3 linked regions of the Stegostoma tigrinum genome follow. The protein of the gene in region 1 interacts with the protein of each later gene in a biochemical or structural test. Links are inferred from orthologs where the notes say so. Each region holds a gene or a part of one and is shown on either strand. Other genes may lie near its edges. The genes, in order: claspin, usp20 and casein kinase I-like.

Region 1 (10,026 bases):
ACAACTATTCCCCCAAATTCATTTCCTAAGGGGCCAAGAATCACTGACGTCTCCTTTTTATATACAAAAGAAACTCTTATTGTCAGTTTTTATGTTCCTTGCTACCTTACCCTGAAAGTTGATTTTCTCTCAATTTATTCTGTCTAGTTTTGATGGATCCCAAATTTATCCTAGTCTAATTTTAACGTAAAAGCAGATAACTTAGATCACTGAAGCATTAACATCTGAAATATTCACATTTGTCACACTTAGAGAAAATGTGTAACAAAGTACTCCACAGAACAAACAATGGATTTGATGATAGAGAATTAATAACTAATAACTTTGCAAGCTGAAACAAATTACACATGATAGAACACAAACCTCCACCATCATGGCACATGTCTTTGTTTGAACGTGGGGAGACCATTCCATAACTTCCCTTGCCACTGTCGTTATCACTGTCATTTGTTTTTTCTTCACCAAATGTTAACTGGAAATAAAGTACAAAATCAGAGCCTACTTTGGTCACAGCTCATTCGGTGAAAAATTAGAATACGACAGAAATGGATTACAAAGTGAGCACACAAAGAGAGAAAGTTAGACACAGAACGTGTAACAACCGTTGCATTCTTCTTTGAACACAATTTCAAGCAAAAAGACTTCCTCCACCTGAAGATGATCATAAACATTTGAAAAATACAAGGGAGTCTTCAAACAGATTAATCAAATAAATCTCACAGGACTTACATGTCAGAAACAACTTTCTTGGCGATACCAGTTCATGTCAAAGTTTACGCTCTACTTGAGCATCCTCCCACCCAACTTGATTTATTATTGCTAGCATAGCCTTTGATTTCTTTCTCCCTCATGTGGTTTTTCTTAGCATTCCCTTAAAATGCATATTTATTTGTTTTGACTGCTCAACGATGTAGCAAGTTTCACATTCCAAACACACTTTAGGTTAAGAAGTTTGCCGTAAATTTAAGAGATGATCAAGCACTTTGACCCTTTTGAATATCCAAAAACTGGAAAAACATATGCTGCACCCATCTTATCAAACCCCTTTATCATTTTACAGTACTTCATCACTCAGTCTTTCCTCAAAAAGTTCCAGATAATTGAGCCTTTGCTAGTTATAAACTCAACACCAGCATTATTGACATACATCTTTGCTACACCATCACCAATGCTCTGGTGTCCTTTTAACAAACTCATTCAAATACCTTGCTGAATATACAGGTGAAAAAAGTGTTTGAAGTGGGAGATAGTGGCAATGTCACTGAACCAGAATCCAGAAGCCTGGCTACTGAGTTAAAACCACACCAGGATAGGTTAGGAATTTAAATTCAACAAATGAAATCTAGAACTAAAGCTCCTCTCATGAACCTGTGGTTGTTTTCTGTAAAACCCCTCAGTTTACTAATATCCTTTTGGGCATTTTCTTGAGGAAGGAAATTTTTCACCCATATCTGGTACTGGCCGTGACAAAAATCCAGAGTGTCTTGGTAGATTCTAAATTCCCTTCTGAGATGGCCAAGCAAGCCAGGTGGTGGAACTAGGCAGGCAACAAACATTGGCCTTGACAATGAAACCCATGAAAGAATTAGGTATCAAGGTAAAACCTGGGTAAATCATACACTCTCTACTTTGATACTACATGAAATCAAAAGAATTAAAGACATGCAAGTATCTCTGAAAGTGAGCACAAACGTTTTCACTGCTTTCAACAACCTTCGCAGAAATTCTGATGTACTCGATATTAATTGGACACATTGAATTCACTGAGTTAGAAAGCACAGTCTGCTGACCTCTATGGCAGAATATTTCAGTGAAGCATTTCGTAATAATTTGATATCTATTGCTTACTTTTCTAAATCGCTCTTCTGGCTTTAGTTCATTTTACAAGCCAAATACTCGGAAATGCTATGTTAGAACTAAGTTGATTAATATTTTATTTGTATTCAATTACATCTTCATAGCATTTTACAGCAAAAGGGATTCCATTGCCAAACTAAGATTTGTGATGGTTTGTGCTTCTTATTTGTGGCAGCCATGACATGAATGAACTTGCTGATACATTTACAATTTGGTCATTTCGAACTGCTTATGTTGCAATAACGAACAGTTAAAGTTGATTTTGCACCAACATGCACAGATATAAACTTCATTTTCTACATTTCAGCAAGTAAATGATTCAGAATATGTACAGAACCAAATAACCTCAAGTTCATGAAATGTCTTTCGTTCTCTAGGTGCACCCATCACCGTCTAGCAAAGAGACAAATGAGGAAGCAGCTACAACACAGGATGGATTTCTAGAACATGGAACAAGTACCTCAAAAACTGAATAGCTGCTGAAATGTTAGTATCATACTGGATGTCAAGACACTGCTTTACCATTCAGTCCAATATTTCTCAGCTAACAAACAGCAAAGCACTTTAATGCTAGCATTGCTGATTTGAATTCAATGATTAATTGCTGTAAACACACTAGTGTGATAAAACTGATATTGATGATGCATCTGATACTTGTGTGGGAACTTACAATGCAAATACAATGCTATGTGTGTGTTTCCAAAGTTAAACAAAGCTTTTCATCCTGTTCGCAAAGAACTACATTGGGATTGCAAACAGAATTGCAGATGTTGTTTATACATTGGTTTCACTAAATACTTGATCCAAAATCCCTAAAGGCCACCAAAAATTCCAGCTCAAAATATTAAGTTAAACTAGACCCCAAATAAGTTTGCCTATCCTCTTACTCAATATTCACGTTACATTGGATCATTGCACGATTTAGCCTAAAAGCTAGCATATCATATTCCAGATTCCAATCTAGTGGACCGAAGCTGGAACCCTGAAGATCTGACTCTGAAGATCAAAGCCAAATTATATCAAGTGCTTGGGTTGCGTTTATTAGCCCAATGACAAGGAATGACCTGGTTTGATAATTAGCCACACACAGAACTACCAAACAGTTTGGATCATTTCACCTCTCACTGTTCTAAACGGAATACACTACGTGCTCATTTAACGAGAAAAATAATGTATGGAACTGCGTGACTGCCCAAAAAGTTAAAAACAAGTAAGCTTAATCCCTTCACAGCCACTACTATATTTCACCTTACTAAGCTTTTCCTTACGTCGCCTCACGACTGCAAAGCAGTCATAAAGGTATATGGCAGTCTTCCACAAGTTGCGAAAAGATGTACAAAACAATGAAACTTAAAACTGCAAATTCATAAAAGTTAATTGCTTAAAAGTTGTGCAACAGAAGAACTAGGTAAAAAAAGTGAGCAGCATAAGTAGCGCCTACAATTTTGGGCGGTGATTAAACAGGGGAGGGAAAATTTAAGGTAGAAAGTGAATGCATGCTGCACCCAAATTATCAATAGGAAACCGCCAACTACCAACTCCCATTGTAAGGATCGTCTTAGCGAACCTAAAACAACACCCGCCAAAAAATATAAATTCACAATCTACAACAGACAGCTGGAAAATAAGACAAATCTGCAATGATCGAGTACGAAAGACAGGCCGTCATTAAAATATGAAAGGCTTTTAATTATAGAAACTGACATATTTAAACCCAGAGAGATTAAAAAGAACAATCAGCTGACAAGTCTGAAAGTGCCAACAGTCACAACGCTGTTGTTTTATTTCAGAAGGCACAGGATGATTCGCCAGACAAAAATACCGAGAAGAGTGGACTGCGGGTACAATCCCCAGTAGGTCTCAGGAGCGGAGACCGACAGCAGAGGGGCCTCCCTTCCAGCCAGCGCGCCAAGCCGGGGCCGGCCCAGCAGACCCTCCCTCCATTTTGCTCCTACCTCCGTGCACGGCTGTAGTTCGGATACTGACATCGCGGAGTAATTAACGGAAAACAAAACACTCGAGGAAGAAAAGGCGTCAGGTCGAAAAGGGCCGTGTGACTTCAGCAGCTCCGAGCGTTCCAATTAAAATAACTTCATCACGACCTTTAAAACCAAACGGCTCCAGCCCGGGAAAGCTCTGCCTCCGACTAACAAACTCTCACGGTTTCGGCCTTCGCGCCCAGCCGCTCAGCGCATGCTCCATCAGCAGAGTGCCATCCCTCCACTCCCGATTGGTGACGGGCCCCGCACAATACTCCGCCCTCTCGCTCTGTATTGTTTCCGACTCTGGAGGCGAGCCGGCCCCTTCAGTGTCGAGGCGTATCGAAACCCCGCCCGCTCTTGTGATGTCACCAGACCCCGCCCGTTCCCACAAATGATTGACATGTCCAGGATGGAACCTGGCGCCCGTCATTGGTGCGTCTTTCTCCTCTTGTGCTGCAGCGGTAAATTTGAAATAGATTTGTTGATCGACTTGCAGGTAATTCTATTCCCACAAAACCGAAATAGCTTTGCTGTTGTAATGCTGTGACGGTGTCTACACCTCTAAGCCAAGAGGCCTAGGTTTAAATCCCACTTCATCCAGAGTTGAGCCAAGATATAGAGATTCTCGAACTCGCAACCATAATGTCAAAATTTGGGCTGGACCGTTCAAGAGACATGCAGCAAGCACCTACACAGCAGTTCAGAATTCTCTTCCACAAAGACTCAGAGAACACAAACAGACACTTCAGTCTAATACGTCCTTGCCGACCAGATATCCTAAATAAATCTAGTCCTATTTGCCAGCATTTGGACCATATCCCTCTAAATGCTGCCTAATTATTTACCCATCCAGGTGCCTTTTAAACATTGTACCAGTCTCCACCACTTCCTCTGGCATTTTGGTCGGCACTCACACCACCCTCTGTGTGAAAAGGTTATCCCGATCCCTTCTAACTCTTTCTCCTTTCATCTTAAACCTATGCCCTCTAGTTTTGGACTCCCCCATCCTGGAGAAAAGACATTGTCTATTTATCCTATCCATGCCCATCATGATTTTAGAAACGTTTATAAAGGCCAACACCCCTCTGCCTCTGATGGTCCAGAGAAAATAGTCCCACTCTCCTCAGCCTCAAACCCTCCAACCCCAAACTGTTTCAAATTTCACACCATCCTTCCAATGTAGGAAAACCAGAATTGCAAGCAGCATTCCAACAGTGGCGTAACCAATGTCCTGTGCAGTCACAACATGACCTCCCAACTCATATTCTCAAAGCACTGACCAATAAAGGCAAGTATACCAAACACCCTCTTCACTAACTTATCTATCTACGATTCCACTTTCAGGGACCTGTTAACCAGCACTCTAAGGTCCCTTTGTTCAGCAATACATCCCAGGATCTTACCCTTAAGTGTACACACCCTGCCCTGATTTGCCTTTCCAAAATGCACCACCTCACATTTATCTAAATTAAACTTCAGTAACTTTTGATCAAGCAAAAGTATTGAGGGATATAGGCCAAAGGCAGGTTTACTGGCTGATCTGTGGCCACAATCAGAACAGGCCGGAAGGGCTAAATGACCTCCAGTTTTTATACTCCTATCTCTGAACAGGTAGATTAGAAAACATGTAAAATCAGTGTCTTCCCCCTCACAAAGCACAATTATAGGCAGTTCCCCTGTAACACAATAATTGAGTTCTTGTGCACCCACGTGCTATAGGGAAATTACTACAGAAAAATCACTATAGTGTACATTAGAAAGTTTGCACATCCAAACAGCGTTACACTAATAGTGTAATAGAAACACATTGAAATAGTTACACCAACATTTAACAAATATCTTTGTAAAAATACAAGCACCAAGCTTTATCTGAAAACTAAAACTGGCAAGTAACGAAGTTACATAAGCTAAACCTGCACTAGACCACGTTCAGTACTTCAAACATTTCTCCATTTCTATGTGGTAACCGGAAACGAGGTCTCTTGTGATGTAGTAGTAGAATTTTTACTTTTGAGCCAGGAGGCACGTGTTCAAGTGCTATCTGCTGCAGAGGTGTGTCATGACAGATCAGACACAGATTGATTAAAATTATCTGTTAAAGTGGAAATGCTTTAAGGGCACAAAAAATTCACAAGTATAACACAGGAATTACATAGGTACACAATAAAGCAAACTGTCCCCCTCACTTTTTCTGGTACAGCAATAATATTATCAGTTCTGCTTCACCCTCTCTTTCAGGAGGCTGCAGGGCAGAGCATAACTACATAGGCCACAAATAGAAGACGGTCACCAAGAAATCCAATGGTGAATTCAGAACAGAAAAAAAGAAATCTTCGCAGCTGAAAAGCCATAAAAAAGAACCACTACCACAGTTGGTAGTGAAAGTGCATAGCACGGGTGAAGATAAGGGACAAAACAAGCACGTGAAGAAAACTGGGAGATAGTTCAAATAGAGATAATGGGAACTGCAGATGCTGGAGAATCCAAGATAACAAAGTGTGAAGCTGGATGAACACAGCAGGCCAAGCAGCATCTCAGGAGCACAAAAGCTGACATTTCGGGCCTAGACCCTTCATCAGAGAGGGGGATGGGGAGGGGGTTCTGAAATAAATAGGGAGGGGGAGGCGGACCGAAGATGGATAGAGGATGGATAGGTCAGTCCGGGGAGGACAGACAGATCAAGGAGGCGGGATGAGGTTAGTAGGTGGGAAATTGAGGTGCGGCTTGAGGTGGGAGGAGGGGATAGGTGAGAGGAAGAACAGGTTAGGGAGGCGGGGATGAGCTGGGCTAGTTTTGGGATGCAGTGGGGGGAGGGAGATTTTGAATCTTGTTAAGTCCACATTGATACCATTGGGATGCAGGGTTCCCAAGCGGAATATGAGTTGCTGTTCCTGCAACCTTCGGGTGGCATCATTGTGGCACTGCAGGAGGCCCAGGATGGACATGTCATCTAAAGAATGGGAGGGGGAGTTAAAATGGTTCATGACTAGGAGGTGCAGTTGTTTATTGCGAACCGAGCAGAGGTGTTCTGCAAAGCGGTCCCCAAGCCTCCGCTTGGTTTCCCCAATGTAGAGGTAGCCACAACGAGTACAGTGGATACAGTATACCACATTGGCAGATGTGCAGGTGAACATCTGCTTGATATGGAAAGTCATCTTGGGGCCTCGGATGGGGGTGAGGGAGGTGGTGTGGGGGCAAGTGTAGCACTTCCTGCGGTTGCAGGGGAAGGTGCCGAGTGAGTTGGAGGTCAGTGTGGAGCGGATAAGGGAGTCGCGGAGAGAGTGGTCTCTCCAGAAGGCAGACAAGGGTGGGGATGGAAAAATGTCTTGGGTGGTGGGCTCGGATTGTAGATGGCGGAAGTGTCGGAGGATGATGCATTGTATCCGGAGGTTGGTGGGGTGGTATGCGAGGATAATGGGGATTCTCTTTAGGCTGTTATTGCGGGGGCGAGGTGTGAGGGATGTGTTGCGGGAAATGTGGGAGACACGGTCGAGGGTGTTCTCGACAACTGCAGGGGGGATGTTGTGGTCCTTGAAGAACGCGGACATCTGGGATGTGCGGAAGTGGAATGCCTCATCCTGGGAGCAGATGCGGCGGAGGCAAAGGAATTGGGAATAGGGGATGGAACTTTTGCAGGAGGGTGGGTTGGAGGAGGTGTATTCTAGGTAGCTGTGGGAGTCAGTGGGCTTGAAATGGACATCAGTTTCTAGCTGGTTGCCTGAGATGGAGACAGAGAGGTCCAGGAAGGTGAGGGATGTGTTGGAGATGCAGGTGAACTTGGAGGTTGGGGTGGAAGGTGTTGGTGAAGTGGATGAACTGTTCGAGCTCCTCTTGGGAGCAAGAGGCGGCGCCGATACAGTTGTCAATGTAACAGAGGAAGAGGTGGGGTTCGGGGCCAGTGTAGGTGCGGAAGAGGGACTGTTCCACGTAACCTACAAAGAGGCAGGCATAGCTCGGGCCCATGCGGGTACCCATGGCCACCCCCTTTGTCTGTAGGAAGTGGGAGAAATCGGAAGAAGTTACTCATCCTCACCCTCAACAACGTCTCTTTTGATTCCTCCCACTTCCTACAAACCACCAAGCCACTGTGCCACTGCAGTGGATTATTTCAGACCACAACATGAGAAGCAGCACTGTGCCATTTGGTCCATCAACAGATTGTGGCTGATTTGATAAACCTCAACTCCACTTTCCTATCTTTTCCCTTTAACCCTTGATTCCCTCATTTAAAAAAAAACCATCTGCTTCTCTCAGCCAATTAACAGATTATAGATTTTATGCCAGCAATAATTTAATTTGTGAAAGCACAAAAATGTAGTAAAATAAGCTGTAACATGAGGAAATTACTTTCAGTTTTGTTTTTCTCGACAATGTTCTTCAACAGAAGCAGTGTACATGTTCTTTTACTGAACTTTACGTTCAACATTTAAATAATAGTTTCAGACTTATTTTCTGTTTAGATGAATTAGAAATGACATTTAGACAATTTAGATTGAAAATACTTTACTCAAGTCTTATAATAATGTAAAAGAAAAGACAGATCGACACATATATACTACCTAATCACATAAAAAGATTCCAAAATGTTTAAAATAAAGTTCATCAATGGAACACCAGAAATGGACCTAAAGGAATAACACCTTTGCCCCACTACAAACACAGAGTGAGGTCAAGTGTGGACGTCAGTGCAACAGAGTCATGACATATGTACACGAAAGACCCTTTAAAATTAAAAAAAAGGGCAAAAACCTACAAATATCATATCTGAGTTTCACTGCCACTGATTTCCAGACATCAATTTCCAAATTGAGCAAGCAAATGTTTCAAATCACATATCTAGCCATTTTTGCTCCTTCTGGAAACATTTTCTCAGTAGCCCAGGAAAGACATACAGCAACGGCATTTCTGCTGCAAACTGTAATATTGCTGCCCTTTACAAATCCATTTTTTCCACCACTGGATTGGACACTTTGTGCCATTGCAGACTGTTATGCAGGACAGTCAGTGCTCCAAGATGAAGTTGCAAAAGATAATGAAAGGCATAAGCATTAGTTCAAATCATTTTTGGGGGTCAGTGGATGGAAAGGATATCTTATCTATGCAGGGAAACAAAAAACAGATCTACCAGCTGTGAAACCGTTGCACAGAAAATGAGATGTCAAAATGGTACTTTAATGGATCCAATTCTAAATGAAGTTAAAGAGTCTTACTGCCAATTCCAATTTAAGCTTTTTTTAGATTTTTCTATTCTTGTCCAAATTCGTCTGATTTTCATTCAGTACGATGTAAAGGTGGTTAGATACTGAAATTCTGCCTTAGCTATGTGGCTTAAAACTGAAACTTGGAAGCCCATCTCCTCCCCACAGCATCAGCATATAATTTCTTTAAAGTACTGTATTCAAACTGACAATTTTGATCTGGATAAGTTCTACCACATCCTAGGATTTCTATGATGTGGTCTCTTTCCCATTAAGAACTGGATTAAAATTATATAAACTAATTTTATTTAGAACCAGCTGAGCTAAGACCGGAAGTGGACGTTTTCTTTTCAATAACTTGGATTATTAGTCAACGACGCAGCTGTACAATTAACCGATAAGCTATTTCTATGTGTAAAAATCATACATTACTTCTTGCATTTCTGATTTAGAACTGTCAAAACCCTTTTTTAAAAAATTGTACGATACTGATTATGAAATATCTTCTGGAAGTGGGCCGTATTTTAGCACTTCTCAACCAAAGTTGAAAATGCATGAGTGCAGCAGATAATGAGGGCAGGAGAGGTGCAGTTGCTGCACCTCCTAAATTAAAGCCAGTTTTTAAAAACAACTGGGCAGTCAAATTTAACCAGCTAATGACAAACGCTGCAACACCTAAAATTAAATAAAATGTTAATTATTTTTTAAAAATCTTCACCAGCATTTTGCCTGGAAATACAGCCATATGCCAAGCCTCTTCAAATCACTGCACTGGTGGCTTTCCTCGGCCAGTTTGCATCGAGGTTGGTTTGTCATTAATTTTGAGAAAGACAGTGCTCCAAAGCTGCCATTCCATACAGGTTGGCTTTATCCTCACCAATATTTAACATAATGTCTTTACATGGTTTGCTGTTCTTGGCCAGTTCTGTTAAAACACTCTGAAAGGCAGCAACGAGGTCAAACTCCACGGTCACAGGTGAACTCTTATT
Region 2 (10,570 bases), on another chromosome or scaffold:
TCTTACATTTCCTTCACTCTTTTCAGATGGCAGCAATTCAGGACTTAGAAGTCCTGCCTCCTCGAGGCATTTTTTTGAAAATTCATCCCATTATCACTTGCAGGCCTTGCAGCATGAAACCTTTGGTCATTTCATCTCTCCTGTCCTCTTACTCTATCACAGCTCTCTAGTTCTCCATCCCACAGTCCAATACCTAAACCATTTATAACTTTTCCCTCATTCTGAAACATTAGAAAGCTTACTCATTCAACACAGGTTGCCTGACTTGTAACGTGTTCCCAGCATTTTCTGCTCTTATTTCAGCTAACCAAGATCTGGAATATTTTGCCTTTGTCACTTTACATTTATCGATGGGATAAGTGAGGTCTTAAATTTGCCCATTAAAAGAAATTTCCAGCAGGGTAGTTCATCTTATATTGCCTGCATTTCTCATTATTTTTGTAGACCCCACATGACGTTGTTAATGATATGCCAGAGGATTTTGTTAATTTATAAAAATGGGGTGTGTGCAGCACATGGGGCAAAATATCAAGGACACTGATTTCGTGATTAATAACTAGAATTTGAATTATTTAAATATAGATGAGAATAACATGATGCTCTGGAAATCAGATTTGCTGATTTATGTATTCTTTACACCATACATTTCTATTTTATTCCTGTTGTTCATTGGGTACGAATTGGGGAGTTTTAGACCAGATAGGTTAGGTTAACATCTCATCCACAGGATATCAATTTGACAGAAAGGAATGAAACCAGATGGCCCACTTAGTCTCAACAATGGCAAAGAGAGTCGGTTGATGCTGCAAAGCCTTCCTTACCAACATTTAGGGTTCTTCTAAAACTGGGATGGATGCCACATAGATTCAGCAAACACCATGTCTTAGACATCATCTTCCAAATCCATGATCCCTACTGCTTAGAAGGACAAAGACAGGAAATATGTGGAAGCACCATGACCCTGCAAGGTCCCTGCCAAGCCACACACCATCCTGACTTGGAAATCTATTGCAACTCCTTCAGTGTTGCTGGGCCAAAATACCTGAGGTCCCCCCATAAAATAAGCACTGTGGGTGCTCCTACTTACTATGGAAATGAGGTTCTGGTGGGAACTAACCACCAGTTTCTCCGGGGCAATTAGGGATGGGCAATGAAATGCTGGCCTAGCTAGTGATGTCCACATACCATGAACAACTTGGGGAGAAAAAAAAAGCAGCACTTTCTCAGCTCTGCAGTGACATGTCAGCCAAGATAAGCGCTTATTGTCGGAGTGGATCTTAAATTCAAAGTCTCCTGAGACAGACAATAAAGTACTACACTAAGCCAAGAATGAGACACGACAGGAACATCATCAATGGCCACACTGCCTGTACTGTTATTGCTAACATGGTAGCGCAAGAATTTAGTTCCGGCAATGACTATAAAATGCTTCAACAGCATTTCGGACTTTCTGTACTTCATAGGCATTTACCCGATAGTAGCACTCCTTTTACCTTTGATTTCTGTAACAGCTCCTCTTTAGTGATTTCTCCTACTGAATCCAGATGAGGGCAGATATCAGTAGTATCAGACATCTTCCCAAACTTCAGCACTGTAATAAAAATTACAGCTATTAAGATCAAACAGACTGCCCCATTATTGCCATTAGGCGCAGATGTAAATTAATCTGTCTCTAATTTAAAAGCAAAATACTACGGATGCTGGAGATATGATATAAAAACAATGTGCCAGAGATACTCAACAGGTCTGGCAACATTTGTTGACAGTTAACATTTTGTATCCAATTGCTCCAAAGAAGAGTCATAGTGGAACTGAAGCATTAATTCTGTTTCTCTCTCCAGATTCTGCCAGACCAGCTCAAGTTCTCCAGCACATTTTGCCTTTAACATCAGCAAGCTTATTCAACATAATAATATATTAAAAAATTAGAATAGTCAGACAAAAGGTTTGGAATACAAAATACATCCTGATAGAGTCAAACAGCACAGAAACTGACCTTTTGGTCCAACTTGTCCATGGGTCCCTTTTAAATCTTTGTCCTCTCACCTTAAGGTTATACCCTCTAGTTTTGAATTCCCCTACCCTAGGGAAAAGGGCCTTTCCCATTCGCCTTATCAATGTCTCATGATTTTAAAAGCCTCTACCAGGTCATCTCTCAACCTGCTGTGGTTCAGCGAAAAAAAAAAATCCCAGCTTCTAACTCAAGCTCTCCAATCCTGGCAACATCCTTAACTCAAAAAAAAATGTCCTGTTAGTCCTCTGCTGGAATCTCTAATTTCCCAGAATCCATGTAGCAAGTGTGACACCAACTCTATATTGTGATGTCTTTCCAAACAAAAGTCTGTAAATTTCGATGATATTGCCATTTAAATTGCAAGTAAATTGAAAATATTTCCACTTGAAAGACAACTGCAAAGTACAACATTACACAGCAAGATTCCTAAATAACAAAAATTAGAATGAGGTGAAACAGACTGCTTATCTTAGAAGGTTCTGAAGAAGGGTCACTGGACCCAATAAATTAACTCCGATTTCTCTGCAAATGCTGTCAGACCTGCTGAGCTTTTCCAGCAACTTGTTTTTATTTCTGATTTCCAGCATCCACAGTTATTTCAGTTTTTAATTTCGCTTATCAAAAAAATATTGCATTATATCTTGCTTCAGAATACAGCATCTCTGATAATGAGTGTTGTATTATACGATAATGATTAGAAAGGTGCTTTCCTTTCTCCACTCAATCACACGCCCCAATTCTTATTTGGATTACAATTCCTTGTTCGACTCACAGTTCAGACAACATTTATTGATGTGTTAATCTTGACACTCAGCAAATCCCAATTACTTAATCTTTGCGGAATTACAAGCAAATTCAGTTGTTCCCACTGTGTAGCCATTATGACTTTCTTTTTAATTAATTCATAGGATAAGAGTATCACTGGTGAAACTAGCGTCTATAGCTCAACTCCAAATTTGTCTTGACAAGGTGGTCTTAAATCAATGCAGTCCATATGATGCAAGCACACTCCAGTGTTGTGAAAGTGGTCACTGGCCTGAAAGGTGCCAGAGGAGATGGTGAATTGCTGCAGTGCATCTTACGATGGTAGCTACTGCTGCCAATGTATCAGTAGCCAATGGGGTATCAAACAAGTCAACTTCAACATCATTAGTGGTGTTAAATGCCTTGAACGTCATTGAGACTGCTTTCACTGAGACAAGTGGAAATTACTTCATTACAATCTTGGCTTGAGACTTTCAGATGGTGGTCAGGCACTGGGGAGTTAGTCATTACAAATTTCCCAGCTTTTATTCTGCTCTTACAGTCACAGTATCTAGATGGCTGATCCAATTTAGTTTTAGTCAATGTCAGCCTCAGGATACTGATAGAGGGATTCGGTGATGATAATGCCGTTGAACATCAAGGAGTGATGCATAGATGCAATCTGCTTGAAATTGGTCGTCATCTGGGACTTAAACAGCAACAAATGTCACTTATTATCCCAAGCCTGGATGTTGTCCAAATCTTGCAACAAATAGGTACAGGCTCATAGGAGCAAAATTACTGTAGATGCTGGAATCTGTACTGAAAACAGGAAGTGCTGAAATCACAGTGGGTCAGTTCAAAATTCATATCAGCTCTGATACACAGTCATCTAGGCTCAAAATGTTAGATACTGGCTTCTTCAGTGTCTGAAGACATTGCATCACCCATCAGCAAACATCCTCATTTCTTGACAGAGGGAAGGTCATTGATGAAGTAGTTGAAAATTAATTGGTGTGGAACACGACTAATGCTAAACATGAAACAATTCTCTTCAAACCAGATAAAAGTTAAAACCTGCACAAACCCCACCTAGGTTGCCAATGGGCTCAGCGAGGGACCAATGGTTCTGTCTGTCAGCAGCTTCTCCATCTCAACATCAAATCTGCTACACAGATAGCGGAACTGGCTGCGCATTTTAATTTTAACATCAAATAAGTAAAATGCTAGAAAATATTATGCAGCTCTGTTCGCATTGGTGGAAGGAGCAAAGCAAACATCAATGCCTGATGAAATCCATCACGTTTTTTTCCCTCTTGCCAAAAATACTGCTTGAGCTGCTTATTCCCAGCAGTCAGTGTACATTGCCTTTGATACTTTAGGCTTTAATAACAAAACACCTGAACATTCAGATGAAAATACACATTAAAAAGTCGGTGATAGCGAATTGGGCTGATGAAGAGGCACGCACAGACACACCTACCACCACCCCCCCACTCTGAAGCAAATCCTCCTTCTCACACCCAGACTCACAACTGCAATTCAACCCGATTCTGAAACTTACTCCACAAACGCCTGCCCGAGACTCAAAGCAGATCTCCCCCAGACACAAACACGCCCCCACAAGACACCCCTACCCCTACCCCTTCCCAAAGACCCAAACGGGGCCCCCTACCCAAGACTCAAAGTTGTGCCCACCCGCTCTCATGCTGTAACCCCCACCCCCCCAGACTGAGTGCCTAACCCAGCCGCGCCCCCTCCCCATTCAGCGCCGACACCTCAAAGCGACACAAAAGCACCGCTGCGTACATTTGCGCCGAGTTTCAAAATCCGCAGCCGGGTGCGCACAAGGAAGACACGGGGCGTACCTGCGCCTACAATGTCCCGGTGCGGGTCCCGCTTCTTCTCCCGATCCCTTCCCCCCGCTTACGTCTCACGAGATATTTTCCTTCAGCAGAGAATAAGCGGCACCGTCTCCATCTTGGGGAGCTCCAGGGCCACGGCGTGCACTCTGGGGAATGTAGTTCCCGACGGGTGGCCCGGATGGAAGACGACCTCCAACGCCATAGGCCGCCGCTGAGCCTTCTGGGAGATGTAGTTCGTACCGATGCGCCTCCCGCTTTCCCGGATGACGTTCGGTTGCTGTGGCGTCATTTGGGACACACCCCCGAGCGGTCGGATAGTGCGCATGTGCTATGTGGCCACGCCCTGGAATGTCCAGGACTCATGGGCCAGGCCATTCAGCCCAAAAAGTTTATGCTAGCAAAACAATCAGCTTCTTACTTTAATTAAAACAAAAGTCTGTTTTGAAGATAATAAAATGTGAGGGTGGATGAACACAGCAGGCCCAGCAGCATCTCAGGAGCACAAAAGCTGACGTTTCGGGCCTAGACCCTTCATCAGAGAGGGGGATGGGGTGAGGGTTCTGGAATAAATAGGGAGAGGCGGACTGAAGATGGAGAGAAAAGAAGATAGGTGGGGAGGTAGGGCGGGGATAGGTCAGTCCAGGTAAGACGGACAGGTGAAGGAGGTGGGATGAGGTTAGTAGGTAGGAGATGGAGGTGCGGCTTGGGGTGGGTCTGTTTTGAAGAAGGGTTTCAGAGATAGTAGGAACTGCAGATGCTGGAGAATCTGAGGTAACAAGGTGTAGAGCTGGATGAGCACAGCAGGCCAAGCAGCATCAAAGGAGCAGGAAAGCTGATGTTTTGGGCCTAGACCCTTCAGAAGGGTTATCTCTGAAGAAGGGTAACAGGTCTTGAGAGCTAGCTCTGCTTTCTCTCTACAGATGCTGCTAGACCTGCCAATTTTCTCAAGAACTCTCCGTTTTTCATTATTTTCCACCTTTATTCTTTCTTAGCAGGTGAATGTCACTGGCACACATCAGGCATTCTGAAACACGCATTTATTACCCATTCCCAATTGTGCTCTGTCTAAATGGCTTGCAAAGCCATTTTCAGAAATTTCCACAAGATTTGGAATGTGATTCCACAAAAACCAGTTCAGGCCAAACATTACATGATTTCAAGAAGCTATTGGACATAGGACTTGGGGGAGAAAGGATTGAAGGGTATGGGGAAAAAGTGAAAACGGATTATTGAGTTAGATGATCAGCCATGATTATAATGATTGGCAGAGTAGCCCTAAGGTATCAAAAGACCTGCCCCTGCAGCTATTTTCTATTTTTATATGTAACATAGATCCTTAACAATAAAAAGGATTTATGGTGGCAAATCGACAAAATGCAACTCAAATGGTATCAGTGCACATTGCCATAATACATATCAGTTTCTAGTGCTCAGTCTTACTTCCCGTTTTGCTTCTGAATATTTCTTTCAAATGCAGAAAATAGGGTACTGCCATTTAAAACAGCCTTTGCGATCCATCTGCACGTGTCCACTTGCACTCATGACGTACCATTGGTGAAACCATGCAGCAGTGTCAAGTCTATGTGCATGTCCAAAAAAATTTTAAACAATTGCAAACCACATCTAATCTTTGTTGTTCTGTTGTATGTTAAGGCAATCATTGATAAAAAGCTGAAGAGGCTTCTGCCATAAAATTGAAAGGAAAGTGCTTAGATTGGGTACATGTAAAACCAAGAGACAGCTCTTAAGGGAGATCAGAGTTGGGTAAATGGAAGCAAAGTGCAATGGTTCTCTTCAAACGGAGAGGATCCGTACATTATAAAATTGCAATTTCCAGTATGCTGACAATTATCCAGCCTGTCCTCCCAAATGTAATTTCTTTAGGTCTTACTTATAAAACAGGCATGTTGTTGGATGAGAGTTAAAACCAAGACTCCAAATTTAGTGCTCCACCTACTGGTGGCATAGGCCACAATTGTAGCCCTATAATATCTACGGTTAACATCTACACTGCTCCAAACCAAAACACCAGTTTAGACCTGTGACTCTTCTTCACAACCCGACTCCTCACTTTGTCCTTTGTTCTGTGGTACGTTGCTCCGATCCAGGGCCAAGAGACAGGAATCACAAAACCTGGTGCTGCTCCTGGGAACGTGGCTCCCAACCTGATCACAAAAAGTCCCACCTCCTGACCCAAGCACGGTTGGCCTCTTAAAGAGATAATGGGAACTGCAAATGCTGGAGAATTCCAAGATAATAGAATGTGAGGCTGGATGAACACAGCAGGCCAAGCAGCATCTCAGGAGCACAAAAGCTGACGTTTCGGGCCTAGACCCTTCATCAGACAGTCTGATGAAGGGTCTAGGCCCGAAACGTCAGCTTTTGTGCTCCTGAGATGCTGCTTGGCCTGCTGTGTTCATCCAGCCTCACATTTTATTATCTTGGCCTCTTAAAGCACCAGTCTCCGTTATTGGGCTCTGGTGTACACCCTTGTTCCAAGATGCCCTGACTTTCCCTTATGTTCCATTCCCTCTTTTTCTACACTACCAAAATCATCACTTTTCCAACAACTTGCAGTTCCAAAGAAACTCAAAACATTAACTGTGTTTATTCCTTTCCACAGATGCTGCCGGGCCTGCTGGGTTTCTCCAGCATGTTCTTATTTTATTCTGTCTTCTCAATATTTTTCAGTGGGACGAGGATGAAAGAAAAGGTCTGTGATAGAGTTGCAACAGGGAGAAATTGAATGACAGAAAATTTAATCCTGAGGGCTAAAGTGAAAGCGCTGAAAACCTATAAGGATCTGGATAACTATTTTTCCTAATTCTAATAAAAAGTCCAAGATCTCAAATCATTGGGGGGAATGTGGGCGGGCGTTGAATCTTGACAGAGTGGATGTGGAAAAGATGTTTCTTCTTGTGGGAGAATCTAGAACTAGAGGTCAGTCATTGAAAAAAAGAAAGAAATTTACATTTTTTTATTGTCACATGTACTCAAGTACAGGAGTACAGTGAAAAGTGTCAAATGTCACCAAGTTACCTTGGTATCTAGGTACAAAGTGATAGAGAGAAACAAAGTTAAAAGTTCAACATTACAGACCACCTCGAGAAAAATAAAGAGATAAGGTAATAGTTAACATTGAAGTTCTTCTTAATATTAAGTAGAAAAATAAAGAAATATTTAAAATTTCAACTGTCTTTCTTGAGCGCTTAGCCATGCTGGGGCCCCAATCTCCTCCACTTAGTTCGTTCTCTGGTGACCCTAGCAGCGTTTCCTCACCGCCGCTGACACAGATACTGGGGGACATCCCTCACCGCTCATTCCTCCCATGTTCTCATAGATGGTCCCATCTTCCTCAAAAGGCAGTATAAGCAGAGTCCTTGATTATCTTTAAAGCAGAGGGAGCTAAATTCTTGATAAGCAAGTAGGTGAGAGATTATCAGTGGTATGCAAGCATGTAATCAGAACACCACGATCCTACTGAATGGCAGAACAGGCTTGAGAGGTCGAGCATAATAATCCTGCTCCCATTATTTTATATATAGAAAATATTAATTAAGTATCTCTCTCTCTACACAAATACTTCAATAAACTGATGAGTTCAGATTGTGGTTGATCTTTTTACAACATGAAAGGTTAAGGAGATATACGCTGGGGACAAAAGACCACAAGAAATAGGAGATAGTAAGAACTGCCGATGCTGGAGTCAGAGATTAGACAGTGTTGAGCTGGAGGTACACAGCAAGCCAGGAAACATCAGAGAGGCAGGAACATTGACATTTCAGGTCAGGACCCTTCTTCAGAAAAATACATCAACTTTCTCGCTCCTCTGATGCTGCCTGACCTGCTGTGTTCCTCCAGCTCCACATTTTTTTTTTGTAAAAAGAAATAAGAGCAAGGATATTGCATTTGACAAAAACAGAAATTGCTGAAGAAACTCAACAGGCCCGCGGAGATAAGTAGGTGTAGACCTGGAGTAAACTTTGGATCCTGTGAGCCGCCTTCGCAACGGTCCTGAAACATCAACATCCTCTTTCTTTCCACAGAAACTGCTGACTTTCTCGAGAATCCAGTGTTTTGCTTCTTCGGGTGAGTTATTGAAGAAGGCGTGAGTATCCCTGCGGGGCGTGAGTATCTGTACTGCACAGACTGTGAGAATGGCAACATTGCGGGACTGGGTCACATGATGCCGTGCCCGCTGCACTGTGGGAAATGGAGTCCGGGAGTCGCCGGAACCTGTCCGTTGAACCGGAAGTTCCTCGGTCCGACCTCCGTTGTCAGTCTGCCGCGAAAGTCGGTGTGGTTTAGTGAGTAACGGGGTTTTGAAAAGAAACTGTGTTTGAGCTAAAAGAAGGTTGCACTGGGCCCCGGAATGCCGGCGGGGAAGAGCTACCGCAGGAGGAGAGAGGAAGAGTCGGATGAGGAGGATGAGCAGAGGGTGGTGGAGGTCAGGTGAGAGCCGAGGCTTCAGTGGTCCAGCTAGGCCTCTTGCCCTCAGCCCCAAAGAATAGCCCAGCCGGCGAGGTTCTTCAATCCATTTCTGAACTGTTAACTGCTTTAAGGGTTCAAGCTTCTGGAGAGGACAGTCTTTGTCTTTACGTGGCGCTATTTGTACTGCAGGAAACGCAGCATCAAGATTGTGCCCAGCAAACTCCCACACGAATGTGACGATAACAAACTATGTTGATTGAAGGATAAATATCGACCCAGAACCCGGGGAATAGTCAACAGATCTGGCAGCATCTATGGAGAGAGAGAGAGAGAGAACTGGAGTAACATTTTAAGTCTGATATCAGAGCCATATTTGACTTGAAACGTCAGCTCGTTTTATCTAACCACGGATGCTGTCTGACCTGCTCAGTATACCCAGAACGTTTCCAATATGTGTTCCAGACATGTTCAGTCTGCCAGTTAGTCACTGTTTATCTGCTGAATTTCGGATAGTTTTGCATTTGAGATAGAGCATCAGCCGGAGGATTGTGCTGACTGGCAGAGTGAGTTTGATGAGCTGAATATTCCACACCACCCATTTTTCTATGCTTTGATTTTCAGTTTTTATCTTCAATTTCCAGCACTTGCTTTGCTCTTACAATGGAGGAGCTTCCTTGCTCTTCAAAATAGCGGCCATTGGATATTAGTCCAGTCCAAAAATGTACAGGTTAGGTGGATTGGTGAAGTTCCTTGTGGAGTCCACGGTTGTGCAGGCTAGTTGGGTTAGCCATGGTAAATGTGGGATTATGGGGATAAAGTAGGAGTTGCTGTTTAGAGGGTTGGTGCAGATCTGATGACCTCTGCTTGCACTGCGGGGATTCTATCATTTGACATCTACCCAAGCAGGCACATGGTGTTTCTTGTCTCAACAGAGAAACAACACGTCCAACAGTCAGGCCGTCCCTTAGTATAACATTCAAGCTCCACCCTATGCTCTGGACCATAGCTGACTGCTGAAGTCTAAAACATCCTCTGAGTGAATGCATACAGTTTGGTGGCTGCCTCATGTTCAATACATAATTCAGTCTTCGTCCTCAAAAAATGCCTTTAACTCTGTGAAGATTGAAAATAGCCACAGTTGCCGAGGCTTTCGTCAAAACAGATTAATTCAGAGCCAGAAGTTGATTAATAGGGCCCCTCCAGCCTGCTGTGCCATTTGATAAGATTGCGTCCTCTACTCCACTTTCCTTTGTAGCTAATACTGTCTTATTAATCAAGAATCTTCTATTTCTGGCTTAAAAAATATTCAATGACCCAGCCTCCACTGCTCTCTGGCGAAAAGAACTCCACAGACTAACTAGTCTCTGAGTGAAAACAAATGTCGTCTCAAAAGTAGGAGAGCCTTTGTTTTTTAAACAAGTTTTCATCTTTTCTCTAAGGGCAATATCCTCTCCACATCCGTCCTGTCAAGCACTTACCCCTCCCCACCCCTGTGCAAACACAGTAAACGCACCAC
Region 3 (10,163 bases), on another chromosome or scaffold:
TCTTGGATCACATTCTCTCGTGTCTGTGTATTTAGCTTCCCCATAAACCGGCCATCTCAAATACTTTTAACATAATGGCTTCGCTTTGCATTGAGGCAAGGCTGGGGGAACAAAAAAAAACGCATCCTTCGGCAGAGAGCAGGAAGATGAGCTTTGTCAGGTTGAGAGTCAGCACCTGAAAAATGCCAGCCCTTCTGCTACCAGGGACTCCTCTGCCTTCTCATGTAGCAAATGCACCACTCCGCACCACAGACAGACAGACAGACACACAGATAGAGAATAACAGAACTTCCAAGGAGCTTGTCAGAATCAGTGATCAAAATATTAATACAGACATGTGCTTCACCTTCACCCATTTATTTTGATCCTGGCAGATTTGCACCTTAACTCTATTCTCTCCTTTTCGGTCCTGCTTAGTACTCTGTTGCACATCAAAATTTCTACATGAAGCCACAAGAGAAACAGGGAATAAACAACAGGTAAGGCAGGCAAGAGGAGTGACAGCCAGTCAACATTTTCCTCCATTTCCCAATTTGCAGCTTTAAACATCAGCTTAAAAAGAGATTAAGTTTCTGAAGCAGCAATTCTGGGAGAAAAACTGTAACAAGATATCCAAAACCAAGCTGAATCACCACTCCTGTTTATTTCTGCTGACTGTAATTCATCCCTGACTCAATCGTTCAACTTGTATTTTGAACCTCGTTCCATTCCTAGTCCCACGCTCCCCCTTTCTCAACCAGCATGCCACCTGCTCCCACATTTGGCAGTCAATATTTGGCTCTGATCTGAGTCAATTTTTCCATCATCTATACTGCCAGTCTTCACCCTGCTTCAGTCCATTACCACTGACTCACCCAACCTACCCAGGCCAGCTTTTATCTTTATGCCTCTACACTGCCAACTCTTTTGAATCCCTCATTCCCAACCTTAACACATTACTTTCTTCATATTTGCAAACCAGAGTTTTCTATCTAAAATTTACTTCAAATTCAAACATACTAATTTCAACAGTTTAACAGAACAGAAAACATGAAAACACAACCATTCTTCCTCTTCTGTCCATATCACCTCCCCCATTTCCTCACAATACTTCTGTAACTGTCCCCGGTGTTGGCCCTCAGAAGCCAGTCTGCAACATTCCACCTATTCCTCTCAACAATCCACATATTCTCCTTCTCCGCTCCCCCCGTATCATCCACTGCATAAACCCCTCCCCTGCATCAACCCCCCCCACCCCTTCCTCACTTATTCCACCCCCATAGTCGCATTCATCCCTCCCCATCCAGTCATGCACACCCCACTCCCATCACACCCCCTTACTCCCCCAGGTAACCCTCCCCCCAGTACTTGCCCCTCCCCCTCCACCCAGTGCTCTTACTCGCCTCCACCCAGTGCTCTTACTCCCCTCCCTGCACTCCCCCAGGGCTCCCTCCCTCACCCCCACGCCCCTCCCCATGCTCCCTTCCCCCCACCACCCCCCTAGTGCTCCCTTCCCCCCACCTACCCCCTAGTGCTCCCTCGCCACCCCCCCACCTACCCCCTAGTGCTCCCTCGCCACCCACCCCCTAGTGCTCCCTCGCCACCCCCCCCCTAGTGCTCCCTCGCCACCCCCCCCCTAGTGCTCCCTCGCCACCCCCCCCCTAGTGCTCCCTCGCCACCCCCCCCTAGTGCTCCCTCGCCACCCCCCCCCTAGTGCTCCCTCGCCACCCACCCCCTAGTGCTCCCTCGCCACCCACCCCCTAGTGCTCCCTCGCCACCCACCCCCTAGTGCTCCCTCGCCACCCACCCCCTAGTGCTCCCTCGCCACCCACCCCCTAGTGCTCCCTCGCCACCCACCCCCTAGTGCTCCCTCGCCACCCACCCCCTAGTGCTCCCTCGCCACCCACCCCCTAGTGCTCCCTCGCCACCCACCCCCTAGTGCTCCCTCGCCACCCACCCCCTAGTGCTCCCTCGCCACCCACCCCCTAGTGCTCCCTCGCCACCCACCCCCTAGTGCTCCCTCGCCACCCACCCCCTAGTGCTCCCTCGCCACCCACCCCCTAGTGCTCCCTCGCCACCCACCCCCTAGTGCTCCCTCGCCACCCACCCCCTAGTGCTCCCTCGCCACCCACCCCCTAGTGCTCCCTCGCCACCCACCCCCTAGTGCTCCCTCGCCACCCACCCCCTAGTGCTCCCTCGCCACCCACCCCCTAGTGCTCCCTCGCCACCCACCCCCTAGTGCTCCCTCGCCACCCACCCCCTAGTGCTCCCTCGCCACCCACCCCCTAGTGCTCCCTCGCCACCCACCCCCTAGTGCTCCCTCGCCACCCACCCCCTAGTGCTCCCTCGCCACCCACCCCCTAGTGCTCCCTCGCCACCCACCCCCTAGTGCTCCCTCGCCACCCACCCCCTAGTGCTCCCTCGCCACCCACCCCCTAGTGCTCCCTCGCCACCCACCCCCTTGTGCTCCCTCGCCACCCACCCCCTAGTGCTCCCTCGCCACCCACCCCCTAGTGCTCCCTCGCCACCCACCCCCTAGTGCTCCCTCGCCACCCACCCCCTAGTGCTCCCTCGCCACCCACCCCCTAGTGCTCCCTCGCCACCCACCCCCTAGTGCTCCCTCGCCACCCACCCCCTAGTGCTCCCTCGCCACCCACCCCCTAGTGCTCCCTCGCCACCCACCCCCTAGTGCTCCCTCGCCACCCACCCCCTAGTGCTCCCTCGCCACCCACCCCCTAGTGCTCCCTCGCCACCCACCCCCTAGTGCTCCCTCGCCACCCACCCCCTAGTGCTCCCTCGCCACCCACCCCCTAGTGCTCCCTCGCCACCCACCCCCTAGTGCTCCCTCGCCACCCACCCCCTAGTGCTCCCTCGCCACCCACCCCCTAGTGCTCCCTCGCCACCCACCCCCTAGTGCTCCCTCGCCACCCACCCCCTAGTGCTCCCTCGCCACCCACCCCCTAGTGCTCCCTCGCCACCCACCCCCTAGTGCTCCCTCGCCACCCACCCCCTAGTGCTCCCTCGCCACCCACCCCCTAGTGCTCCCTCGCCACCCACCCCCTAGTGCTCCCTCGCCACCCACCCCCTAGTGCTCCCTCGCCACCCACCCCCTAGTGCTCCCTCGCCACCCACCCCCTAGTGCTCCCTCGCCACCCACCCCCTAGTGCTCCCTCGCCACCCACCCCCTAGTGCTCCCTCGCCACCCACCCCCTAGTGCTCCCTCGCCACCCACCCCCTAGTGCTCCCTCGCCACCCACCCCCTAGTGCTCCCTCGCCACCCACCCCCTAGTGCTCCCTCGCCACCCACCCCCTAGTGCTCCCTCGCCACCCACCCCCTAGTGCTCCCTCGCCACCCACCCCCTAGTGCTCCCTCGCCACCCACCCCCTAGTGCTCCCTCGCCACCCACCCCCTAGTGCTCCCTCGCCACCCACCCCCTAGTGCTCCCTCGCCACCCACCCCCTAGTGCTCCCTCGCCACCCACCCCCTAGTGCTCCCTCGCCACCCACCCCCTAGTGCTCCCTCGCCACCCACCCCCTAGTGCTCCCTCGCCACCCACCCACCTACCCCCTAGTGCTCCCTCGCCACCCCCCCACCTACCCCCTAGTGCTCCCTCGCCACCCCCCCACCTACCCCCTAGTGCTCCCTCGCCACCCCCCCACCTACCCCCTAGTGCTCCCTCGCCACCCCCCCACCTACCCCCTAGTGCTCCCTCGCCACCCCCCCACCTACCCCCTAGTGCTCCCTCGCCACCCCCCCACCTACCCCCTAGTGCTCCCTCGCCACCCCCCCACCTACCCCCTAGTGCTCCCTCGCCACCCCCCCACCTACCCCAGTACTCCCTCGCCACCTCCCCAGCACTCCCGTCCTCCCCGCCTACCCCAGTACTCCCTCTACCCCAGCACTCCCTAACCTGCCCATACTCTTGCCATCCCCTCACCCCTCCCTATACTCTCCACCTCCTCACTCCCCATCCCTGTACTCACGCTCTGTCTCGTCCCCCTCTTTCTCTCCACACTCCTTCTCCTATTCCTCCTCCTCCTCCTCCTCCTCATACTCTCCCTCACTATCTCCTCACTCCCTATTCTCTTGCCTCCGTTATCGCTCCTGCTCCTGCTCCCGCGCCCCTCGGATCTCCCTCACACCCACCCCCCGGCTTCCGGGGCACTTACTGCGCGTCTGGCTCTGTTCGGTACCGCCGTTTCTGTCCCGCGTCCCGGGCTTTTCTCTGGGATTGTTTTCTGGAATTCTTTTTTCCTCTCTCTCCTCCTCCTCCGGAAGACAAGGGAAAGCTCCAGGAGCAAAACCGGAAAAGCAGCCTCGCAGCAACTGCTTCCGGGTCAGTGTGCCTTGGGTTGGGAGGGGTGGCGGCGCCGTGACGTCACGGGTCGGCACATGGCCCCATAGAGGCCTTGTGGTTGGTATTGGAGCCAATGGGTCACCTGGGTGTCAAGCTCTGTATTTCCATCCCACTGAATTAATATGAATGAAAAATTATTACTAAATATGCAGTGAGTCTAGTGACTTCCTTCCAAGGCATCCTGCCTGCCAGGAGCCGGAATTGCTTTTCATAGACAGATAGAATTCCTATAGTGTGGGAACAAGTCGGCCCAGTAAGTCCACGCTGCCCCTCTGAAGAGCATCCTACCTAGACCCATCTCCCTACCCTTTCCCATAACCCTGCATTTCCATGTCTAATCCACCGAGCTTACACAACCCCGATACTATGGGCAATTTAGCAGGGCCCATCCACCCAATCTGCACATCTTTGGACTGTGGGAGGAAACCCTCACAGACACAGGGAGAACGTGCAAACTCAGCACACAGACACTCACTGCGAGATTGGAATCAAACCTGGGTCCCTGAGGCAGCAATGCTAACCACTGAGCCACCATACCAACTCCCTACAACTTCCTCCTTCTGATATACTTGACACCGCCATCTTCCCCCATCTCTGCATTCCCCAAAGATACATCATCATCCTGTCATCCAAAAGTAGCGAGCTTTCGTCATTCACACCATAAACAGAGACAACCTCTTGGGGCTTATTCCATCATGTAAATAGACAAAACCTGATCTGTATCCCACTCTATTTACATGACTTTCCGCCTCATACATTGATATTTCAATATGGTGAGGTGCTGTTATCTAACTACACCAGTCATCCATTAGCCCAGGCAATTGTTCAACATCTTATTGTTTCATAATCATTAAGAAATCAAGCATTATGGGGAAAAGGCTGGAAATTGGAGTTGAGAACAATTAGGTCAGCCATGATCTCATTAGATGATGAAGCAGATTGCATATTTAATAACAATTTTTCAAAAGTTAAGAATTTGGGCCAAATGGTCTACCGCTGCTTCTGTATGTTATGGTCTTATGCTTCTAGGACAAGGATTCAGATCCTTGTACTCAGCTGTATCAATCATTACAAAACCTCAAAGAAATGAAACTGGACAGGCTATCAACCTAGGAACCAGAACAGAGACAGGCAAAACAGACCTGTCGACCCTGCAAAGTCGTCCTCGCTAACATAGAGAGGTGGGTGCCAAAATTAGGAGAGCTGTCTCAGACGCTTGCCAAGCACCAGCCTGACTGATGATTGCCAAAGTCATGACCACTGCCAAGTAGAAGTACAAGTGCTCTAGATACACGAAAACATCATCATCACCTGCAGGTCCTCTTCCAAGCCACTCACCGTTCTGATCTGGAAATATATCACCATTCCTTCTCTGCCACTGGGTGAAAATCCTGGGATCCCCTTCCTAACAGCTTTCTGAATTAACCCACAGCAGGTAGAATGCAGCAGTTCAAGAAGGCAGCTCATCACTAACTTCTCAAGGGAAACTAGGGATAGGCAATAAATGATGGCTAGGCCTCAACTGCCCCATCCTGAGAATTTTTTTTTTAATTTCCACTAAAGCAGATGGCTAGCATGTTTGATCATCATAAAAAGCCATCCAATTTACCAATGTCCTTTAGGGAAGGAAATCTGCTGATCTGATCTGGTGTGGCCTACTTATGACTCCTGACCCACAGCAATGTGGTCGATTCATAACTGCTTTCTAAAATGGCTGGGAGTGATAATCAATTCAAGACCAGTGAGGGATGGGCAACAAATGCTGACCTTGCTCATGGCACCCAGGTTCGATGAAAAAATATAGAATTATCCTGACCCAACAGAGTTTAGGAACCTAGGAAAGAAGCAGCAAACAGGATGTCAGATAATAAAATGTGAGGCTGGATGAACACAGCAGGCCTTGAAGGGTCTAGGCCCGAAACGTCAGCTTTTGTGCTCCTGAGATGCTGTTGGGCCTGCTGTGTTCATCCAGCCTCACATTTTATTATCTTGGATTCTCCAGCACCTGCAGTTCCCATTATCACACGCAAACAGTATGTCAATAGGTATCCCCCAGCCACACGTCCATGAGTATAGCATAGAAGAGATGGAGCAGCTAAATCTGTAGTGATAATGAAGATGAGAGAGCTTTGATTTCTTGCAACATTGGGGCTAATTCTGGGGAGATGAATGCTATGCAGCCTGGTTGGATTGCACCTAAACTGTCAGGACCAATGTCCCAGAGGATACTTGCTGTGACAGGTGTGTGAGAATCAGGATGTAATATTTGAAAGGAAAACCTAGGTCTATAGAGAAAAACAGTAAGTATGAGAGTACGAAATTGTATAGTATTCGATGGGATCAGAATAAGAGGGAAGGTAATCAGGTTTAAATTAGTTTTACCCTGCAGATATGACACACAAAATGCAGTAAATAAGATTGTTGGACTGCAGATGCAGATAGCAACATAGGATATTTGCACTGTGGCAATAATAGAGTTCTGGCTGGAAGAAGGGCAAGACTGTGCGACTAATGACCTGGTATGAAATATTCCTCAGTAGATATCATTCAGGAATTGTAGGGAAGGCAAGAAAGGAGAGGGTGGAGGGTGGGAGTACTGACGAAGGAATTCTGGGTTAATGGATTAAGAGACGTACTGCTATGGCCAAAGACAGAATCTGTTTGAGAAGAGCTAAGAAACATTACAGGCATTGATATACTGCTGGGTGTGTTCAAAAAACCGCCCATAGTGAAAAACTTGTAGAGGAACACATCTGCAAGGAAATTACAGTGAAGTGCAATAATCATTGAGTACTATTAATAGGAGACTTCAGTTGTCCTAACACAGTTTGAGATCTAACAGTGTCAAGGATGGAGAGGGACAAGTGTTTTCAGGATAATTTTCTACAACAATATGTCAATGAAAAAGAAAACATTATTGGATTAGTTCTAGAAAACGAAATGGACTAGGTGGTGTTGTCAGTAAGAGAATGTGTAGGGAAGAGTGATCATAATATCATAAGGTTTTGGTCAATGAAAGAAAATATCCTTTAGGGAGAAAATTCCAGCATCCTTATCTAGCCATGCTTACGTGTGATTTCAGACCCACAGCAATGTAAGTGACTCTTAACTGTCCCCTGAAATGGCCCAGAGGGCCAAGCCATTCAAAGGCAACTAGGGATGGGCAACAATCCACATACCAATCAAGAATAAAACTAAAGGAGGTTTCCTTAGTCACAATAGATCAAATTTCGTATGGTGAGAATGGATCTGGCCCAGGCAAATTGAAACCAAAGATTGGCTGGCACAATGCTAACAGAACAATAGCCAGTTTTAAACAGGGTATTGTTAAGGTACGGTAAATAGGTGCATTCTTCCCACAGGAGGAAGAGTAGGATGACCAACTACATTGTCTAGGCTTTTGACTGGCAGTGTTCAACCGTGCTATTGCCACAGGGAAGTTTGAGTCAGGACAGAGATGGAATTGGAGACAACTACTACCAAGGTAGCCAGGTTAAAAGGCCAGCCTACATTTGCCCATGCATTGGCCCAGCTCTGAGGATGAGTACATTGGCAATCCTGCAGCTACCACAGCATTCTTACTCTCCATAACCCACTCCAATATGAACGGGATTCAAAGGCTGTGTAATGATGTTGGGATATCTTTGAGAAGCTCATAAATCTATCAAAATAAACACGCTACTTACTTTTTAAAAAATTGTCCTCGAAACAATTTATAAACCTGTCAAAATAAACAAACTCATCTTCCCATTGATAGCTGCAACCAAATCCCTGCTGTATAGAATTTATTGAAAGACATCCAAGAATTCACATGATACTGAACAATAGTACCAATACATCCTCTGATGTAGAATATACTATAGCATTGTAGATAGTAGACTGTCATCTGTCAAGACTTTGGAACAGCCAAATAAAAATCTGCATTGCAATTCAAAAGAATAATCAAAGTTCTGGACATATTTCAAACCTAGAAGATGTCAAAGGATGCATTTGCTGGATACTTGTAGATAATGCAGATGAGAACCAGATTGAATAATGGAAGGTTTAGAAGGGAAGTGAAAATAGAAGTAAGGGAAGCGAGGAAAAAGTGTAAGAGACGGGCAGCTACTTCTCTCTAAACATCATAAATGTGTAGAATTCAATACCCCAGCGATGGTAGAAGTTGGAGTAATGAATAAATCTCAGGAAAAGAAAGACATGTTTAATTAGTAATGGCGTTAAAGGTTAAGGGGGATCAGGCAGGAAAGTGGGGTTGAGGACAAGATGAGATCAGCGGAGCCAGCCCGATGGGCCGAATGCCTACTTCTTATATTCTTGTGTTTTAACATAAAATGGAATGCAAAAGTCTTCTATAAGCAAATAAATAGGAAAACAGTGGTAAAAGGAGAAGTGGGATTGATTAGGCACCTTAAAGGGAATTATTGAAATTAATAGGGGAGGCAATGATCTAGAAGTATTATCCAGTGACCCAGATAATGTTCTGGGGACCCAGGTTCAAATCCCGCCACAGAAGTTGGTGGAATTTTAATTCAATAAATATTTGGAATTAAGAATCTAATGATGACCGTGAACCCATTGTCGATTGTTGGAAAAACCCATCTGGTTCACTAATGTAGGGAAGGAAACTGCCATCTGGCCTACATGTAACTCCAGATCCACAGTAATGTGGTTGACCCTTGACTGCCCTCTGGGCAATTAGGGATGGGTAATAAATGCTGGCCTGGCCAGTGATGCCCTCATCCCATGAATTATAAGGAAACAAAATGGGGTTAAGGGTTAACAGATGCTGTGGGCCTGACAATTTGCATTCCAGAGTATTAAAGGAAATGGTCTTCCAATGTGAAAAATAGAAGGAAGAGTATTATTTAAAGGGAGATAGAATGGGAAGTGCAGATGTACAAAGGGACCTGGACATCCTGATACACCAGTCAGTCAGAGTTAATGGGGCAGGAGCAGCAAGCAGTTAGAAAGACAAATGATAAATTAACATTCATTGTAAAAGGATTTTAATTCAAGAATAGGAATGTTTTACTATGGTCATACAGTGACGTGGTGATACCACACCCCTAGAGTATTATGATCACCTTTGATCTCATTATGTACGAGGACATATGCTTGCCGTTGAGGGAGTGCAACAAAGGTTCACTAGCCTGGTACCAGGTTTAGCGGTGCTGTCAGATGCAAAAATGCCATCCCCTGTCCCCAATTCCTTCGCCTCCGCCACATCTGCTCCCAGGATGAGGCATTCCACTCCCGCGCATCTCAGATGACCTCGTTTTCAAGGACTGCAACATCCCCCCCAAAGTGATCAAGAACGCCCTTGACCGTGTCTCCCACAATTCCCGCAACTCATCCCTCACACCCCGTCCCCGCAAAAACAACCAAAACAGAATCCCCCTCATCCTCATGTACCACCCCACCAACCTCCCAATCCAACGCATCATCCTCCAACACTTCTGCCACCTGCAATCTGACCCCACCACCAAAGACATTTTTCCATCCCCACACTTGTCTGCTTTCTGGAGAGACCACTCTCTCCGTGACTCCCTTATCCATTCCACACTCCCCTCCAGCCCCACCACACCCGGCATGTCCCCTGCAACCACAGGAAGTGCTACACCTGCCCCCATACCTCCTCCCTCACCTCCATCCCAGGCCCCAAGAAGACTTTCCACATCAAGCAGATGTTCACCTGCACTTCTGCCAATGTGGTATACTGCATCCGCTGTATGCATTGTGTCCTCCTCTACATCAGGGAAACCAAGCGGAGGCTTGGGGACCGCTTTGCAGAACACCTATGCTCGGTTTGCAATAAACAACTGCACT

The links.
Region 2: of the proteins of claspin (region 1) and usp20, one has a biochemical effect on the other in vitro, tested with the Homo sapiens proteins (2 studies listed by BioGRID, with this or other methods). The link is inferred for Stegostoma tigrinum from reciprocal best matches to the Homo sapiens genes CLSPN and USP20.
Region 3: of the proteins of claspin (region 1) and casein kinase I-like, one has a biochemical effect on the other in vitro, tested with the Homo sapiens proteins (2 studies listed by BioGRID). The link is inferred for Stegostoma tigrinum from reciprocal best matches to the Homo sapiens genes CLSPN and CSNK1G1.

The regions. Positions count from the first base shown.
Region 1 is NC_081377.1:22,638,003-22,648,028, forward strand, and holds the start of claspin, read right to left. Parts: upstream 4,042-10,026; 5' UTR 3,846-4,041; coding exon 3,813-3,845; intron 473-3,812; coding exon 364-472; intron 1-363. Other genes in the region: ncdn (neurochondrin), read right to left, coding at 9,853-10,026.
Region 2 is NC_081382.1:39,293,542-39,304,111, forward strand, and holds the start of usp20 (ubiquitin carboxyl-terminal hydrolase 20), read right to left. Parts: upstream 4,758-10,570; 5' UTR 4,627-4,757; intron 1,592-4,626; 5' UTR 1,575-1,591; coding exon 1,494-1,574; intron 1-1,493. Other genes in the region: c29h9orf78 (splicing factor C9orf78 homolog), read left to right, coding at 8,996-9,075.
Region 3 is NC_081389.1:5,500,785-5,510,947, reverse strand, and holds the start of casein kinase I-like, read right to left. Parts: upstream 4,286-10,163; 5' UTR 4,150-4,285; intron 1-4,149.